Callithrix jacchus: one gene and its partners. The protein of the gene in region 3 interacts with the protein of the main gene of each other region in a pairwise test. Links are inferred from orthologs where the notes say so. Each region holds a gene or a part of one and is shown on either strand. Other genes may lie near its edges.

Region 1 (6,314 bases), on a different chromosome or scaffold from region 3:
ACTGTGTACACTTTGTGTCATTAAGCTATCACAAGTACTATTCTGCAAGTTTGGCAGCTTAGGGAGGTTATTTGTATAAAGTCACGTGACCAAAAATACATTCAAACTACGTGTAACTCCAAATGAAGACTGTGACAAAGCATCTCAAAAAAATTTTCCAGGCTCTAGTTGAGGAATTGCTGAGGAACATTCTATTGATGACACTGTAACCGACTAACGCTCCTTTAAACAACTTTGTTTGGGCAATAAAAAGTGTTTAGTTAAAACTAAAATACGATACTTCCTAGAGTTGTATGTGGGATCATCACCATTATCGTCATCATCACTAGCTAATCCCAAGGAAAAAGGTAAACACAAAATCTCCCCAATCTTGTACAAAACTAAAAGGTAAAATTTTGAATCCATTTTCCAACTACGTCACACACAGTTATAAGTATCCTTCTAAGGTGTGTATATGCCTATGTATGCTTTTTAAGTAAACTTGTAAACATATGTGGTAACTAGGGTATATTTTATTCAGTCTATGGCAGCTTCTTAGTTTACCCAATTGAGTATTACTAGTTCAATTTTCTTAGAATAAGAAGTTCTCAGAACAATGATCTATCACCTAAATTTCAGTTCAATGTGTAACTGTTAGACAAACTTAAAGCAGACTTTCTAAAACGATTAACGGTGCTCAATAATTCACCTATTCACATGTTTAAAATTTCTTAGTTAGTATATGCTACTCTAATGAAAGCTATATTCAAGTTATAATTTTTTCCCACAGTATGCTAACAGATCAGAAATTATAATTTAATCTGGATTTTAATCCTCAGTCTCTTCTTTAGCAGCTGGTTATCTCTGACAAATTACTGTACACCTCTTTAGGCTTCTAGGTTTTATATGATCAATCATCATTGGTAACTGATAGTAATGAGAGTCAATTATTATTCATGCAATTTCCTTAACGAGTTTAAGTTGTAAATTTTCCCTTGGCAATGTTCACAGAAGATCATTGCTAAAATATTATTTTTCAGTTAGTTTTAAGCTGATTCTTTAAATAACAAACAATTTGCTCTGGAGAAAGATTTTCTTTCTCGTTGGAAGAAGCCAAGATCATCTCCATTTAAGGACAAAGCTGCTGCTACACATTTTAGTTAGCCATAAGAAAGTGAAGTGGGCTAAGTTCACTCTCTCATAAGCATTTAAAAAAATAAAAATTACATGTATCTCCTCTAAAATTAAAGAAGAGATCTGAGAATCAGTATTTTCAAATGTGGTGACTTAAATAAATCTAACATGTAAGACAACAAATTAGATGAACAGAGAAGAGGAGAATGATGTCCAGCTTTACAAAAAAAAATTATTTACCCAGTTATACTGTAAAATAAACTGCTTTGGGAAGTTCAAAATATCATTCCACTAACATCTCATTTGTATAGTAATTTTCAGAAAAGCAACCACTAGATTAAATGAGGCATAACCTTTTAGAAACATTACAAAACTTAATTTCAACACATGAAAACCTATAAAGCCTCATTAACTGAGATGTAACTGATTGGGAATCTGCAATTATTTCTTTTTTACTATAAAGTTGCCCTTAATACTGCTTATAAAAAAAATTAGTAAGTTTGTGTAATAATTTAAAGCAATTCTTAAAGAACCATATTGCTATTTTTGGGGGATTATATGTATCAGTTTAAATACGAAAATTAGCATTCACAAATATATTGTTAAACTGCTAACTGAAGAAAACCCAAATGAATTAAATATATTTATTAGTTCTTACTTTAGCTGTAAGATAAAAATAATTTTTTTAAACAAAAAGCAGTTATTAGCCTGATTTTCTCATACACACAGCTTCTCCCATATATACAGAACAAGTACAAAATAAGAAGAAAACAGGTATAAAATTTGATTATGTAAAAATACTTCATTTTTGTCTTGCTAAAAGCTAACATTATGAAGAATTGGTATTAAAGCAACAGCAGCAAGAATTCAATGAAAGTTGTTTTGCTTATACCTGTGTTTATTTTTCTCATAATTAAAATTCCTGCAGTAACTTATTTCTTCAATATGTTCACCATTTATATTCAATTATCTCTAAGCCTGAAGATAATTGAATATAAATGTCTTATTATCTCTAAGCCTGAAGATGCATGAATCTGTAACAAAAGCTTTCTACCACCTCAAATTTACCTTTTCTTCCATTTACCTGCCATATACTGTTTTAAATTAAAAACAAAAGATGAAGCACAAAGTGTTAATGACTTTTCCATACCTAAATTAAGAAGTTCTAAAGTTTGGTTGTGATAAGACCAAGACTATGGCTAACCAATCGAAACTTGAGAATTTCTATGTGACATCATAAGACCTCCCTAGCACACTTTTTCTCCTCCACCTACTGCAACTGTTCCCATAAACCTGGTGACAGAGTCAGAAAACTCCTCAGCTAAACATCCATAGACTTTATATGACCCAATACTTTATATTGTGATGATCACACCAGCCAAGGTAAGAAACAGATTTCACTGACTTTGGTAATTCTTCTTTCTGTAATTCTTAATTCCTATGATTTCTATAATCTGAACTATTAAAATGAGTTAATTATATTTTATAAATTTCAGTTCAAAGTTAAATAACAAAATGACATGGCAAAGTACTTAAATTTATAAATTGCTTAACCATTTAGTGACAGTAAAAAAAAATGAGACAACTTTAAAATGAAAAGGGTTGTATTCATCTTTGATCCTGGTTATTGGTTTGTCATTTTAATTTAACTTTCACTTTTATTTTGCTTTTCAAATGTGAATTTCTGCCAATTTAAAAAAACCTTCGAATTATGTTACCATATTTGGTAGTAGCAATGGTTAATTTCTCCATGCAAAAACAATGACTTAATTTTGTTATCAAATGCTCTGCTGAGAAACAGTGCAGGACTGAACTGTCTACTTACATGTGAACTAATATTGCCTATTCCAATATTATCATTATAATATCATACAGTGAATAATAATAAAATGGAGTTTAAGAATATTTAATGCAAGATACTTTTAAAGTGCGCTTAGGGATTTTTCTCCTGTAAAGTCCAGTCAACTTTCAACAAACACTTCTAAAAATTCCATGACGTTAATAAATTCAGTTACTGATATTAAATCCAATATTGTATCATAAAGAAGTTTAGAAATTTTAAAATACTTTCACAAACACATAAAAAGTCTAATGTTAGAGAATAATTTGACACTTTAAAAATAAAGTTATTTTGACACACAAATATGCTTAAGTATCTATTTTTCATACAAATTTGATAAAATACCTATACTTTTATCAAGTTATTATCCTCCAGTGTTATTCCATTTCCTTTCTTGGATTTAGAAGGAAAAGAGAAAATAAAATAAATGCCAGGAACGGAGATGCCACAATCAATTTTATGACGTCTGTTTGAATTCTACCTATTCTTTATGTTACAATTCTCAATTTAGTAAATAAATGTTTCCTCATTCTTATATCTCTGTCAGGGCACACAGAAAAATATATCTATTTTATTGATTTTATTTTTTATATTTTATATATATGTTAAAATAAAATTTACCTCTAAAATTCTCAATTCCTGTGACAAACATTAATTCTATTACTCACTATAAATAAGACCTTTGTAATTCTGTAAGCAGCTTTCCTTAAGATATACAAAAACCTAATTTTTGTCTACCACTGAGGTATCCTAATTGCTTCTCCGTATCTCTATACTCATATTTTTCCTTTAATATTACATAAAAGTCATTCAGTGTAGGTGTCTGATATGTTTATCTGTGCATTTTTATTCAAATATCTATCAAATTATATTCTCACATTTCAAACTGGGTATTCATGAGTTCTTTTATTGTATCAGAATTTTGCTGTATCACATATTGCTCTAAAAAGTACACAACTTCTGGATAGAGCAGAAAGTCTACTATTAAAGTTACCCTTAGCTCACCAGTATGTCTCAGTTAATAGAAATTACATAGTTATAGAGACTGCTAATATTTCAAATATAATGTGATAGTACCATACCATATGCCCAACTAGTTCATCTATGCCTTAAAGTGACAGTTAAGTACTGCCTCTGTTTATGAAGACATGGTTTAATAGTAAGTGCTAATAAAAACTGTTAGATGAAATCAAATGGAAGAAATATGAAAGACGTTTAAATTAAACGGCATTGATTAGGTTTTAAAAACACGTGAAAGAGCCAGAGTACTTGCTTTACTAAGAGGTGTCACAGCACTAACAATTCCTAAAACTCAAATATCAAATCTATTTTATTTGTATTTTAGTAGGCATAAAGGAAAATAATCACATTTGGGTTATATAATCATACGCATTGTTTCTTAATCTCACTAGAGATAGGAAAATATTTTCAGAAAAGAAAATGCTAATGTATATGTTAATGTATTATATAATGTACTGATTACATGTATAGCATTAAATTATGTAATATATTTAATTTTTAATTTAAAAGTTACATTTACAGTCTCTAAATTAGACAATATATTTATTACCAATCCCAGAAATGAGAAGAGCCTATTAAAACATCTTTCTTTATTCTTAAAAAACAATTTCCTAAATATACTACTAGTATACACAAATGTTTCATTTGGTCCTCTTAATTATATATTTAATACCACATCACTATTCCACAATTTAGGAAAGATGCAAAAATGTGAACTGCGCAAGATCACAGAACTAAGAAAACAGAGAAACCTTGGCAGAAGGTTAGGTTTCGTGATTAAGCCACATTCACATCCTCTATACAATGATCAACATGGTTTAAAGTACATCATGACACTGACAAACCAAACTAAATTGAAAGTCCTCAAATACTGTAAAAGATACTCTAAAAGGCAAATTCAGAGAATACAAACTTCTAATTTAATACCATGCCATTTTACTTAAATTCAATTTAGGCATCAGACATGACATTCTTAATACCCTAAATTATATTCTACTGATGATTTTCAAAACCAGAAAATACACAAAAATTACAGATGTCCTTAGTTATTAAGCAATACAGCCTGGAAGGCAAAATTGAAACTAACCGCACAAACTTTAAAAAACAGTAACACACCTCAATCCATCAAAATTTCCTTTTATTTGTTTCATTGCTAAAATACGTATGGCCTTCAACCCATTTGATACCTAAAATCCAAGTTAATATCTCATTAAAACTTTCACTACATAAACCACATTTCAATACTTTATTCCAGGATCCATCCCTCTTAAATCCTCAGCTCTCAGCATTCTTCAGGTTTATTTCTGAAGCCCCCCTCATACTCTAGCATTTTTAATATGCAACACTATTTGACATGTTTGATCAGAGAAATCTTGCTATCTATGCTACAAAAATCCCTCACTTTCATCAAAACAGTGAATTTACACAGAAATGATACTAGCAAAGTAAACCTAAGTAATCAAGAAAGTAATCCTCCTCAAATACAGTGGCATAAATCAGGTAAGATGTGGTCTCTTTGTATATTTTCAGAAATAGCACATCAAAGTTCTCACCCTGAATAATTCTGAACGATGTGTTACCAAATAAACACATGAAAAGGAAGCCTGGATGTACCACATAGTCATAGTTATCTGAGGACCTCTAGTGCCTTTTAAAAGGTACTCCATCTTTAGGGTTTTCAACCCCAAGTTCCCTGCCCCCCAGCAAAAAAAGGTTGACCAATTCACTCCCATTAATAGGGGGTTTATTTATTAAGTGGCATTCATTTTTCCTTAAGATGTTCTCAATAATACCCCCCCCCCCACAATCTCCTCCCCTCAAAAAGACCCTGAAGTCCCAACTCCCAACATGATTAAAAAGAGTACTTTACTTGTAAATAAACTTGTAAAGCATTGTTTCAATATTTAAGAAACAATAATGAGGAAAAACCTACAGATACTATAGCAATAGCAATAAGCTACATTGTCAATTTCAGAGAGAAAAATCTCTCTGTGCTGTTGTTTAATGAGTTCTCCTCAAGGTAGAGCTTTAATAGGGGAAACATTCCATTACAGGTCAATTTAGGAGTGAGATTATGTTGACTTTTATGCATATGCAATTCTTTTCACAAACAGACAGAAGCAGCGTGAAGAACTGTACTATTACCACAAGTCCAAAAAAGGGTGTATACATACTTACTTATGGCTTATCTGTGGAAATGTCAGCAAGTAGCAGAAAAATAAGATAAAATTCCAAATATTACAAATATAGATGAGTCCTGTTTACAAATTCTAATCTTCTAAACCAGTTAGATAGAAAAAAAATCCTAAAGTATGTCAGACTGTAGCCTTAGATATTACTT
Region 2 (6,264 bases), on a different chromosome or scaffold from region 3:
GCTGGTATTACAAGCGTGAGCCACTTGGCCTCAAATATTCCTAACGCATACTTTAGCTTTTAACTAAAAGCAGAACACAGCAGTTATATTCCCTGTCAAAATTCTTATAAGGTTGTCAGAGGATTGTTTCTACTGATCCATAGTTAGGATTTTTCTTAGGGAAAAAATTAAACCTCTTCCTATGAGTATTTTGATTCAGCATCCAAACCAGTTGAATTTCAGCCTGACAAACTGGGATGAATGTCCAGTGATCAATGTCAGGCCTAACCAATTTGCAGACAGACTCCAATCACCTTAGGCTAAGCTGTCTCTCCAATTCAATGAACTACTTTTTTCCTTTTAACCACGGATTCATAATGTAGTTTGTTGTTGTTTTTAAACTAATCTTATCTGCACTGTGATAGCAGAAAAGAGAATCTGTCCATATCAAGCCCAAGCTAGGTTAGAGTATCTTTAAGGTCTAAGAAGGGTTGTGGTTGGCAAAATCCCAAGGAAGAACCAGTGGAACTGTGGAAAGCAAGAGGTTACAACAATTGCATGGGAAGATTTAGGACTTTTTTTTTTTTTTTTTGAGACGGAGTTTCGCTCTTGTTACCCAGGCTGGAGTGCAATGGCGCGATCTCGGCTCACCGCAATCTCCGCCTCCTGGGTTCAGGCAATTCTCCTGCCTCAGCCTCCCGAGCAGCTGGGATTACAGGCACGCACCACCGTGCCCAGCTAATCTTTTGTAATTTTAGTAGAGACGGGGTTTCACCATGTTGACCAAGATGGTCTCGATCTGTTGACCTCGTGATCCACCCGCCTCGGCCTCCCAAAGTGCTGGGATTACAGGCTTGAGCCACCGCGCCCGGCCAGATTTAGGACTTTTTAGCTTAAAAGGGCCATAGATAAATGTTTATAGCACTGGTCCATTTTTCCTCACCTTTAATACAGAGAAAATATTATACCCGCTTTAGACAGCAGCAGTTAACTCACAGGGAATCTGAATAGTGGCTCTTGTTTCCTCTCGCCATCAGCAACTGTTGAAGGAAAAAGCACAAGTTAGAATCTAGGTAAATCTGGGTAAACCTTTATGTAAAGGCTGAGGAAAATAAATTCCCATAATGCCAAACTACTATAGTAGTGTTAGCAAGTTCTTAGACCTAAGATAACAAGACATCTCTCTTCTTCAGGACCTTGTGTGGGTAATGACAACAGGTTCAATGTCTCAGGAAGGTATCTCTCAAAAGGTAATAAAGCCCAACATATAAGTAGATTTTGTATATATGTTCTAGCCAAATGCTTTCACAAATGCCATTTTTAAGATAAAAACATTCTATACTGGGGGTAAAAGCACTCATTTATTTTAGTTCATAATTTCCCAGTCTTCAGTCATCTAAATGCCACTTTCATAATTATCTTCATCCACCTGTACTATTTACCTAATATTGGTCTTTGAACTGACTTACTTTTCTTGTCCTCTATTTTTTAGCAATAATATCTGAAATCAGTTTTGAGGTGTCAGGTTTTTATGATTAAATGTACTTGTTTCATTCAAGTATGTGTGTGAACATTTTGGGAGAATTTTTTAAATGTTCATCTGCTAATCAAATTATCTTGCATATGTGACAGTACCAAAGTTTGAGAAACACTACCAATAAGGTACATGTTATTTTATTAAAAGTGGTAGCAGAGATCTGTGGGAATGTTGGGGGGGCAGTGGCAGTTAATCTGGACAGAAAGCTATACTAACTGTGATGCACAGGGAGGGTGCGGGGTAGATTGAGTGATAAAGGGGAAGAAATTTCTACCATTCTGCCTGTGCGCTTTACCTCACTAGTAGTTTTTGACACTCCTATTATGGGCGCTTGCACTGCACAGTATGTATAAGACCTCAGGCTTCACAATAGATTTTACTCACATCTAGGACAGGGCCAACAGTATATGCTCAAAGGTGTCAATCCCAACATTTGCATAGTGCCACATAGTCCACATTTGGATAGGTAGAACCTCCATTTTACAGATGAGGAAATGGAGGCTCACTTTCTCAATGTCACACTGCTAGTATATAGCAGAACTGGTTCTTCAATCTAAATTTCTAATATCTCTATACCACAATGCTTCATCAGTCTCCAAAAACCAACAAGAGGCAAGAAACCAGTGATACAGAAACTAGCTATTCATTTTAAAATAATAAAATAGCAGGTTATAATTTCTTTAAGAGGCAGTACAGTTTGGTAGTTATAAAGAGGACAGAATCTGGAGCCAGGCTTCCTGGGTCCTAATTCTGGCTCCACAATGCACCAGCCATGCAAATTTGGGCAAACTTTGACATATCTCAATTTTCACACCTACATATTGTGGCTACTAATGGTATCTATTTCATAGGCTTGTTTTAAAAATAATATTATCTATCTCATAGGATCATGTAAAGCACCTGAAACACTGCCTTGTAATATACTAAAAGCACTATATTAAGTATTTGCTATATTATTTACTGATTACTCTCTATGGACCACACACTTCATACAAATTACCTCATTTAAGCCTTCCAACAACCTGTGAGGTAGGTATTATTAGTTCCGTTTTACCTTTGAGGAAACTCAAGCCCAAAAAGCTTAAGGAATTTGTTTAATCCCTAAACTAAAAAGTGACAAAGTAGGGATTTAACTCAGGCCCAACTCTAACACTGTGAGACACTATCAACATATGCAAATTTCTTACTCAAAAACATGTAAAGGAAGGTCACAGGCACCCCTGTGATAGTGCCTGGGCCTCTTTCATACACCAACATAAGATATACTTCTATTTTAATCAGTTGCACACAAAAAATAAATTAAAAGCACCAAACAGATGTGATGTTTTCAACATAGGAAATACCTGAATGTCCCTATTAATTTAGGATACGGTCACAGGTGTTAACGTCAAATAATGAACTTTAATATACCAGAAATTGTAGGTACCACTTAAGGCATTGCCTGATCCCTTACAATCTTAGCATGTAACCAAATATAAATAACATGGAAAGTGAATTGGAGTTTTAAAAGTGGCTGTTCCCCCGATTGGAGATCCAACATCTCCAGTCTGGTGGCTGACACTTTTGCTCTGGGCTAGGCTTTGCCTTGGCTGAATAGGCATAGGAGGGACTGGTTCTCAAGCTCGCCACCTGCCCCAGGTGGATAATCCAGGAAACTAAGCAACAGGAGAAAAATTATCTTCAGCTGTATTCACTGGCAGAGAGATTCAAGCCAGCTGGGACTTGTCCTGTTCTTTCGGAGACCTCCTCCACTTGTGGAGCCAATTACTCAGGTCTCCCTTCCGCCATATCGTTTCCAAAGTGACTCTTGAGACAGGGTCTCAAGAAGTTTCTGTGAGCCAACGTGGGCAAATATCTGGGCTCAATGCTCACTCCATCCCCACAAGACGTAAACTAAGACACTGGTTCAAGTCCCATTCTGCCTAAAAGAAGTAAGAAACGCCACCTCAAGCTCTCGCGGGCCACTTACACAGGTAGATCACCGTGTTTCCGACATCTGGGGGCCAGGGAATCCCCACCACTACGCTGACAGCCAAGGGCGACTGTTCCTCCCCCTCAGATATTCCTCCCCTGGCTGCCCAATACCTGAGGCAGCACAGACAAAGCGCAACTGCCACCCGCGTGGCCCAACAGACCCCTCAAGTCGAAGGGGACGGGGTCCCCGCTTGCCCGCCCCTCCAGAGCTCCGCGGCCCCAGCTCCCACCCCAAAGGCACAGACTTGGCTCCTGCCCGTCGGGTAGGTCTTCAGTCCCGAGGGCGGAGGCCGAGGCTGTGGCGGGAGACCGGGAGAGGAAGGGGAGCGGCCGGCAGGCGTTCGAACGACCCCTAAGAAGGGAAGAGGACTGGGAGGGGCAGGGAAGTACCTGTCGAGCTGGGACCCGCCGCTCCGAGTGACGCGCCCCGCAATGCATTGTGGGGCCTGGGAGGAGCCTTTCGGCGAGGCTGCGGTGCGTCCAACGGGGCTCGCACACGCGGAATCTAACCACGCCCCCGTTCCCTCGGCTCGCCCAGGCCAATCGGGTTCTGCGGGAAGGCCACAACAACCCGCCCACTCCCGGGACCCGCCTTAGTCCCACCCCATGCAGGAGGGATTGGCAGCCTCTCTCGCACCTGCGCCAGAAAAGTACCCCGTCCTCTGTTGACACAACTGCCCTGACTTCAGAAATAGGGTCAGTCTCCCCCGCTCGCCGCCCTGTATCTGCAGGCATTTGTCTCTCACAAGCTGCCCTACAGCAAACATTATCAAAGGGACAGGGAGAAAAGCCCCCTCTGGGTGAGCAAGGAGAGGAGCTAGCCCCTTCTATTCCCGCACACATGAAGGAAACTAACCGTAGCAGAGAAGTGCCGGATGCAGACCCTGCGACCCCTTCCGGCCTTTGCATCGGTCGTACATTATTAAATAGGCATTTACTGACTGTTTACCATGTGCCAAGCACCGTGTTAAGCACGGGGTTACAGGAGTGGACGTAACACTTGATGGAATTTAAGACGTAATAGGAGCAAGAGACATTAAAGCACAAATAGTTACAGAATTATAAATTGTGATCAGTACTGGGAGGGAAAATTAGTGGGTGCAATGATGAATTAATTTTGGACTGTCAGGGAAGAGCCCTCCGAATAAGTGCCTTTTAAGCTGCAGACATATTAAAGAGCCTTAGAGAGTGTTCCCGGTCAAGGAAATATGATGTGTGAGGTTGTTAGGACATGACATAACTTCGTGTGCTCTAGGAACTAAAAGGAAGTCAATGTGGATGGAGTGTAGGGAACAAGGAGAAACTTTGCGCATTGACTTTAAGATATCTTCCAAAATACAGCCTGAAATCTGTAATGTGGCCAATAAGAGCCAGCGTGGTCTGGCCCTTGTCTCATCTCAGCCAAAGGTCAATGGGCAGCTCATAAAGACTATTATTAAGTAGATTCTTATTTGCATATTTAAGAATCACTCAAGCTGTTTGTGGGGAATAGATTGGAAGAGGGCAAGAAGGGCTGCTGGGAGGCCAGTTGGAAGCAGTTGCATCAGACAAAGCCAGAAATGGTGGCTTGAACTAGTGTAATGGGAGTTAAAGACAGAGGTGGATAATTTCAAGATATATATAAACCAAAGATGGTATCCAAGGGACTTACTAATAGATTGGTTTGCCAGAAAGGTCAAAAAAGAGGAATATTAAGGATGACTCCTTAAGTAACTAGATGGATTGAGAAGTCATTTACTGATTCATGGAACACAAAAGGAGGAGCAAATGGTTTGGAATGTTAAATTTGAAATGCTTATAAATGGACATGTCAAGTAGATTTGGATGTAAACCTAGAGTTCAGAAGAAAGGCCTGAACTAACATAAATTTGGTCCTACTCAACAGAAATGTATTCATATATTCACCAGAAAACATATGTATAAGAATGTTCATGAAATGAATAAATTTTAGAATATCCTCACTGGGCGCGATGGCTCATGCCTGTAATCCCAGCACTTTGGGAGGCTGAGGTGGGCGGATCACTTGAGGTCGGGAGATGAAGACCAGCCTGGCCAACATAGTAAAACCCCATTTCTACTACAATATAAAAAAATTAGCCAGGCATGGTGGTGGGCATCTGTAATCCCAGCTACTTGGCAGGGTGAGGTAGGACAATTGCTTAAACCTGGGAGGAAGAAGTTGCAGTGAGCCAAGATCATGCCACTGCACTCCAGCCTAGGCAGTAGAGTGAGACTCCATCTCAAAAAAAAAAAAAAAAAAAGGAATATTCACTAATAGGATACTATAATACTATACACTGTGGGAGGTAGAAAAGTTCCTCTTCAAAGTTTCCTTTCTTGTTTAAGAAAATTTCATAAATGTTAGAAATAACAGTTTGGGGCCAGGCACAGTGGCTCACGCCTGTAATCCCAGCACTTTGGGAGGCCGAGGCGGGTGGATCACGAGGTCAAGAGATCGAGAACATCCTGGTGAACATGGTGAAACCCTGTCTCTACTAAAAATACAAAAAATTAGCTGGGCATGGTGGCGCACGCCTGTAATCCCAGCTACTCGGGAGGCTGAGGCAGGAGAATTGCCTGAACCCAGGAGGCAGAGGTTGCAGTGAGCCAAGATCGCACCATTGCACTCCAGCCTGGGTAACAAGAGCGAAACTTCGTCTCAAAAAAAAAAAAAAAAGAAAGAAATAACAGTTTGTTTTAAACACTTTCTTTGAAAGCCTTCTTGCCTTTTTGCTAGAAGCCCTATACTATGTAGTTGGTAGACATGCTTACAG
Region 3 (6,437 bases):
GCAATCATATTACTCTACATTGTCCTAATTCAGATACAAATGAGATGTCCCTTACTCTTGAGATAATCTCCACCAACTATCCAGATAAATCTGCAGCTACTTAGTTGCTCCCACTGAAGTAGATGGTTAATTACAGAAGGTATGATATGACTCTCTCACTTTATCATCAGCAAGTGTGTCCCCATGGGGGAGACTTTAGTAACATTTCACATGGAGAACTGTGCTGATCTCTATGCTCTGTATCCCACCTGCCCTAACTTCCTTGTGTGCCCTGCTTAAAAAGTTTTTAAATTGAGAGATGATATACATACATCTACAGTGATTTCTAGATCCCTTTCTTGAGTCATAACTGAGAGCCTAGAGCCCATCATCTCATAAACATAGATAGGTTTACTTTTGCCTACCTGCATGAAGTGTCTCTGACTGTTCTGCCCACTTGGTCTCATGAGAACTTCCTGCAGCTTATTCTCATCAGGTTGCCTTCACTCCTTGCAGATAAACTGGTAAGAAACCTGAATATACTGCCTGTTGAAGGGTGTATATTTTTATCTTTCTTCCTCTCCATCCAAGACTTGCTATAACAGCAGTTGTTTGTGTTGAAAAACTAAAATATAGAAATATGGCCTACGTGCCCAAATCCCACAAGGCTGTTTACTTCCTTATTTACCGAATCAGAATCTGTCAGCACAATGTAGAATTCTGAGTGTCAACAGACACAATTAAATGGCCCTATAAAGCCAGCAGAGGGTGCACCAGGGCACTAGAAATTTTACCCAAGCTTGTAGCAGTATTAATTTAATACCCAATCAACTGTTTTTAAAAACTTATTTTTGTATACTAAAACTAATATACAAGATAAGATAAACTTCAGTTGAATAATTTAAAATAAACTTAAGTTGAATTTGGGCTAAAATTCCTTCAAAGTATACTCCAAATCTGAAAGTGAAGTTCAGGAAGAATAAGGAATACATGGTTAAACTTAGTATGGTCAAAATACAGGTAGAGTAGAACAAAATGATGCAGATCTGAGCCCTCTACTTTGTAAAAGTTCTAATATGGAGCTCCATCTTGCTCCCTCAAAAAAGGTCCCAGGAGGTAGTTGGGGGAATGGGCACTGAAATGGGAATTAAGAGAGTAACTTTCATCCCAGTTTTGACTCTAGTTATGTGACCTTGGGCAAGTCACTTTCCCTTTAGGGCCTATGTTTCCCAAGGGAATCAAATGAAATGAACTCGTATAAGCCCTTAATAACTCTAGGAAACGGATTCCAATTGATGTCAACAAATGTAAAGAGCTAGTATCCTTGCTTCTATTGCTCAAAAATATTAAAACAGAAAGAATAAAGGACAGAAGATAGGAAGCTGTGTTTAAACCTAGACAGAACTATTTTAGTGCCATACAAAGGGCAGGTAACTAAATGCCATTACAGACCTGGAAGAGTTTTATGCCATTACAGAAGCCCTAGAGTACAGCTGTTCTGCTAATCCTCAGTCTGTAAACATGGCTCTGTCCATTGGGAATGCCAAAAAGTCTTGGCCACCATTTGACTGAAGAAGTTTAATTCTTTCATCTTTTCACAGAATATCAATGTTCAGCTGCTAAATATTTCTACTGGGCATTGGGGTGTAGGGGAGTGGCAGTAGATAAATAAAGGAGTCAGAATCCTAGTTAATTATCGTTTAGTTACAGTGTTTAAAGTTTCAAGTATGAGAAGCATGTCTGCTGATTCTCTTCTTCGATAAGCTGTTATATAAATTGAAGTGTGCTAGCAAGACATTTTAAGGCTCAGGGCAACTTTACAATGCACATAGTTGGTTTTTTGTTTGTTTGTTTGTTTTAAGAATCAGTCCTAACATTACACTATTATCCTGAATGTGATGCCTTTATCAAGTGTACTACTTTAGATGGGAGGTCAAAGTGGTAGAAATAATGTTTACAGAGTTGTGACAATGACTCTGGATGTGGCAGTAAATACAGAAGGCTTGGGTCCCTCACCTCAAGGAACTTATTTGTACAACTTGCTCTCTTCCCTAAGAGGTACAATTTTACTATTATTCTTTAGCCACCTCAAAAGGATCATTAGATGCTTCTCCTAAGTTTCACATATGGCAACCAAGACAATATTTACGTTAAGTGCACTAAATTTACTTGAATAAAGAGCTAGAAAGAGTAGAAAACAAACACCAAAGTTAATAGTTTGGTAATAAGGGCACAAACACCATAAAGATTGCAAAAATAAACAAAACAAAACAAAAAAACCCCAAAGTGCTCTTGGGGTACTAGTCCTGAGTAATTATTCCATTTGCAGATTCCCGGTCTCAAGCTAGCAGTAAAAGCACTTCCCACCCACCCTTCCCACTGCACACCTACCCTGCTTAGAATCAGAACCAGCATGCAAAGGGTGAGTTTTACTTCCATAGATTTTTTAAATTGCTGTTCAGAAGTTGTCTAGCAAGACGGCATATTTCTACCAGAATTCCTCAGGGGCGCTGATCCTCACCAGAACGCCGAGGACAATCAGTCTCAAATTGCAGGTAAGTGTGAACAAGTCCACGTTCTGGTCAGCACACAAGGACCCGCGATGAAAATGCGGTTAAAAGTTGTTTCAACGGGCAGGCGTGGAGCAGTTACTACAGCTGTTTACAGCTCTAACTCCAAAGCGGAGCCTGCTGGTTCTGGCATCAGCTCTGGACACGAAAAAACAAGCACCGCGGGCAGAGAACCTCATCAGGAGCAGAAGAGCCAAGCCGTTAGTCGGCCGGGGGGCAGCACAGGCACCTCCTCGACGGGAGCGTCGCCAACTTTTCCCGAGGCAGCCCGCAGCCAGGGGCGGCGGGCACGCGCTAGGCTTTCCAACTCAAGGGGTCCTCAGGGAGTCTGGATTAGCTGGGCCAGGGACCGAAGACAACCTGCCTTGGGCAACCTCTCCACTGCTCGCCTGGCCCCTCGCTGGTCCTGCCCTCTAAATTGGGTCGAGGTGGCAGAGTGCTCCCAGGCCCCTTTGGTGGAGGGCCCTCGCCCTACCCGCGAGGGGAGGGGGCCGTCGCCACCCCTACTAGGTTACTCACCTGGTGCCCGTCCTGGGAGTCAGAGGGGAGTGCGGCTTCTCCCGGTTCCAAAGGCGGCTGCTGCTGAGGTGACGGCTGCCCAAGGTGACGGGTGATGGGGCTGTCAGGGTCGAGGCCACCGGGGCTGTTTAGGGTGCCAGAGGTGCCCGGGCCGCCAAGGCGGGATAGGGCTCCCCGTTCCCGCCGCAACTCCGAGCGCAACTCTAGGTAGCAGCACAACGTCAGCAGGTGGAGGGCCAGCGAGAGGCCAAAGAAACCCAGGAAGAGCCGGCAGCTGTTCCCTTCGCCCGCCCGAGCAGGGGCCCCGCGACAGCCGCAGCTCTGGCTCTCCCGCTCCCGCGGCGCTGTCGCGGGCAGGGGTTCCCTGCGCTCCATCTCCGGGGAGCCCATGGCCTCCAGAGACACCCACTTTTTTGAGGCCCGGGAGCCGCTGCGTCTACCTCAGCCGTTCACGACCTCTGACAGGCGGCTACTGCCCTGCCATCGGCTGGGGGCTGCAGGGACCCGTTCCTGCGCGACGGTGGCTGGGCGGGACGGAGCAGGGAGCAGCCGCATGTGCAGCTCCACTCCGAGGGGTGGGAAAGGGAGGAGGAGGGGCGGGAGAGAGGGGAGGCTCGGCCCGCCGAGGGAATGAAGGAGGAGGTCCCGGCCGACACCGCCCCATCCCTCAAGCGGCTGCCGGGACGTCCAACCAAGGGGCCGCCCTGCCTCGGCGCCCCGCCCCGTACCGTTCCAGCCGGGCCTCCAGCCTCGGGGGGTGGGGGGGGGGTGGGGGGAGCCTTGGGGCGTGAGAGTTCGCCTCGGCCTGGCCGCCCCACCCAGCTCTTCCCCCTTGCCTTGTCCTAGTTGGTGACTGACGCTGTCCTTCATTCCTAGACTCCGCCCCAGTTTAACCCTTTAGCGCCAGTTCTGGGAGGAAAGGAGGGGGAGGCTAAGAATTTGGGAACCTTGGAAAGAAAGTAGAGCAAAGAAAAGGAGGCAGAAACTAGCATTAATAGAAATGTTTGCAATTAACTGCAGTTGTTAATAACATCATCCAGTACTTATCTGTTGCTTCCAATCTTCAAAGCGTTTAACAGACGTTAAACTAATTAAAACAGCTCTTGGTTTGGAATGAAACCATGCCTGCTGTGTTTGCAATTCAATGGCTCGCCCGAAGAAAAGGAGACCTAGGAGCCTGGGAACTATGGGAATGGGTGGGACTCAAGCAGCCTCACTCCTGGAGTGACTTCTCTGAAAGCTCAATCTAAGTGACAGAGAAGCTGACTCATGCCAAGTGGAACTGAAATGATGTTGTCCCATGAAGGGTAAAACTGTCCTAGGATTTCTTGATATATTAATTAACTCAACAAATATCTATTGATCCCTGTACAATGCAGAAAATGCTGTATGAGAGCATCCACAGCCAGAATAGATTTCTTCCACTGCAGTAGTTTTGATTAGAGAACATATACCTTCAGCGAGTAGATAGGAAACTGAGGGTCAGAATGAGGTGGATTTTTACAAGGGAGGTCCATAGAATAGCCAGACACCATTGGCATCTTTATTTACAGGCAACTGTTCCGGCCTCTCCACCCCTCCCATCCTTCTCCTGGAGTACTCCCTGGGGGAAGTTCAACAAGTCAGCCAAATGTTCCAGATGTACACTGCTGTAACTGCAGCATCTTCAACAGCTGCACCAATCACAAACGGGTTCAGAGAAAAAAAAGTGGCAAAGAGCAGAACAATAGACCCTGAAATGAAGGATGGAAAGGATTAGTTAAATCAAGAGTCACAATTGACAAGAGTAACTAGTCTGAGATAATAAAAAGCAAAATGACTGTAGAAGGGGAAACATATATGCTTTGTAGTCACTATGCACTCTCATTCTCATGTTATTAATTGAGTAATGAATAATTAACAATTTTATTGACTTGCAGCAGGCATCTGGAGTGTCATCAAGGAGGCTCAGCAATGCCCAGGAACACTTATATATAGGCCTAAGACCTAGGCTGGTGGAAGAGAAGAAAAACAGAGAGAGAAATAGAAAAGAAGATGAAAGAAGAGAAACAAAACACAAAAACAAAAGCATCTGCTGGCAGATCAGTCCAGAGAGCACAGAGGTCATAAGCCTTTAATATATTAGCCACAGACAACTTTTCTCTATACACTTTTGAATGGTCTCAGTGCTTCAAAAACATCTTTTTGTCTTCTCCTTAACCTCTACCCATGAAATATAAAGTTCACAAAGAATATCATCATCCTAGAGCCAAGGGGAAAAAAGGTGTTTAACAGCTGCTCTCAAGTCCTGCTTGTCCAGTCCAGGAATTCTAGATGCTAGGAAAACTGCCAGGCTGATTTATTTTAATTATCACAGGCTGGGGTTATTGGAAAGAATGCTAGACCAGGAGTCAGGAGACTTCATTCTGCCACTAGATTGCTGGGTCACTCTGAGCAAGTCACTGTGCTTTTTCGGGGCCTCTATTTCTCCGGCAGTAAAATGAGGAGTTTGAACTTTAACAGCCTTTACATTGTGTTTTATCTGTGTTGTCACTGGCTGTGCTGACTTTCTTGCATACACAGTTTAAAGTGGCTGCCCTTTCTTCCTCTAAAATGAAAAGGAAACAAATGACAGCCATCTCCTGGTGGTGGTGATGCTCAAGGGCCACACTGCTCTCACCTTACCGTGTTCTGCCAGGCTTTTAACAACTTGACTGAGACTCTGGATTACACCCTTGCCCACAGAAGCCCTGAGGGTTGCATTTGACCTGGGACCTCTCTTTCCCCAGAGAAAGAACATGTGTCATCATATGCAGTAGAAATGTGGGAACGGGGCAATCCAGAGAGGAATGTATGTGGTTATCTTTTAAGTGTTTTGAAGTGTTCCTTCAGTTAGCTTCTATGCTTCCATAACTATCCTATCCCCTAAAGCACAGGTCTCAATGACAGCCTGCAGGCCATATCCAGCAAATAGATGTGTTGTGTTTGGTGCAGTATCAACTAAACCTTTGAATTAAAAAAAAGAAAACAGTTGTCAGCTTTTGGAACTCTGGAGATTTCACATTTTTAAAAGTCCAGATTTCCTGCTTTTCTGTTAAAAAACCAGAAGACCTGATAACTCTGGATCCACATTCCCATTTGGCTATATTCAGCTTAGAACTGTACTTTTGAAACAAGCATGAACAATCATGTTCCACAGCTATCACCACCTCTTTCTTCTATCCTTCAGTACGGTCCTTGTTACTCATTCACCTTACCTGTCTGATCTCATGTACTATGGGAGACAAGATGTAAGCTCCTTAACATGACCTCTAATCTGTCTCTCCAACGTTATCTCCCACCATTTTACAAGGAAGCCAAGCTTGCACACTACTAAATTTGCTGACCCTT

Evidence for each region.
Region 1: the proteins of EDA (region 3) and PLN interact in binary tests that used the Homo sapiens proteins (3 or more experiments, as listed by UniProt). The link is inferred for Callithrix jacchus from reciprocal best matches to the Homo sapiens genes EDA and PLN.
Region 2: the proteins of EDA (region 3) and SEC22A interact in binary tests that used the Homo sapiens proteins (3 or more experiments, as listed by UniProt). The two-hybrid records come from large-scale screens. The link is inferred for Callithrix jacchus from reciprocal best matches to the Homo sapiens genes EDA and SEC22A.

The regions. Positions count from the first base shown.
Region 1 is NC_133505.1:124,873,946-124,880,259, forward strand, and holds the start of PLN (phospholamban), read left to right. Parts: upstream 1-2,402; 5' UTR 2,403-2,496; intron 2,497-6,314. UniProt on the Homo sapiens protein: Reversibly inhibits the activity of ATP2A2/SERCA2 in cardiac sarcoplasmic reticulum by decreasing the apparent affinity of the ATPase for Ca(2+).
Region 2 is NC_133516.1:79,847,676-79,853,939, forward strand, and holds the start of SEC22A (vesicle-trafficking protein SEC22a), read right to left. Parts: upstream 3,913-6,264; 5' UTR 3,736-3,912; exon of another isoform or gene 3,486-3,735; intron 1,020-3,485; 5' UTR 1,014-1,019; coding exon 976-1,013; exon of another isoform or gene 923-975; intron 1-922. UniProt on the Homo sapiens protein: May be involved in vesicle transport between the ER and the Golgi complex.
Region 3 is NC_133524.1:66,881,244-66,887,680, reverse strand, and holds the start of EDA (ectodysplasin-A), read right to left. Parts: upstream 3,646-6,437; 5' UTR 3,459-3,645; coding exon 3,069-3,458; intron 1-3,068. UniProt on the Homo sapiens protein: Cytokine which is involved in epithelial-mesenchymal signaling during morphogenesis of ectodermal organs. Functions as a ligand activating the DEATH-domain containing receptors EDAR and EDA2R. May also play a role in cell adhesion.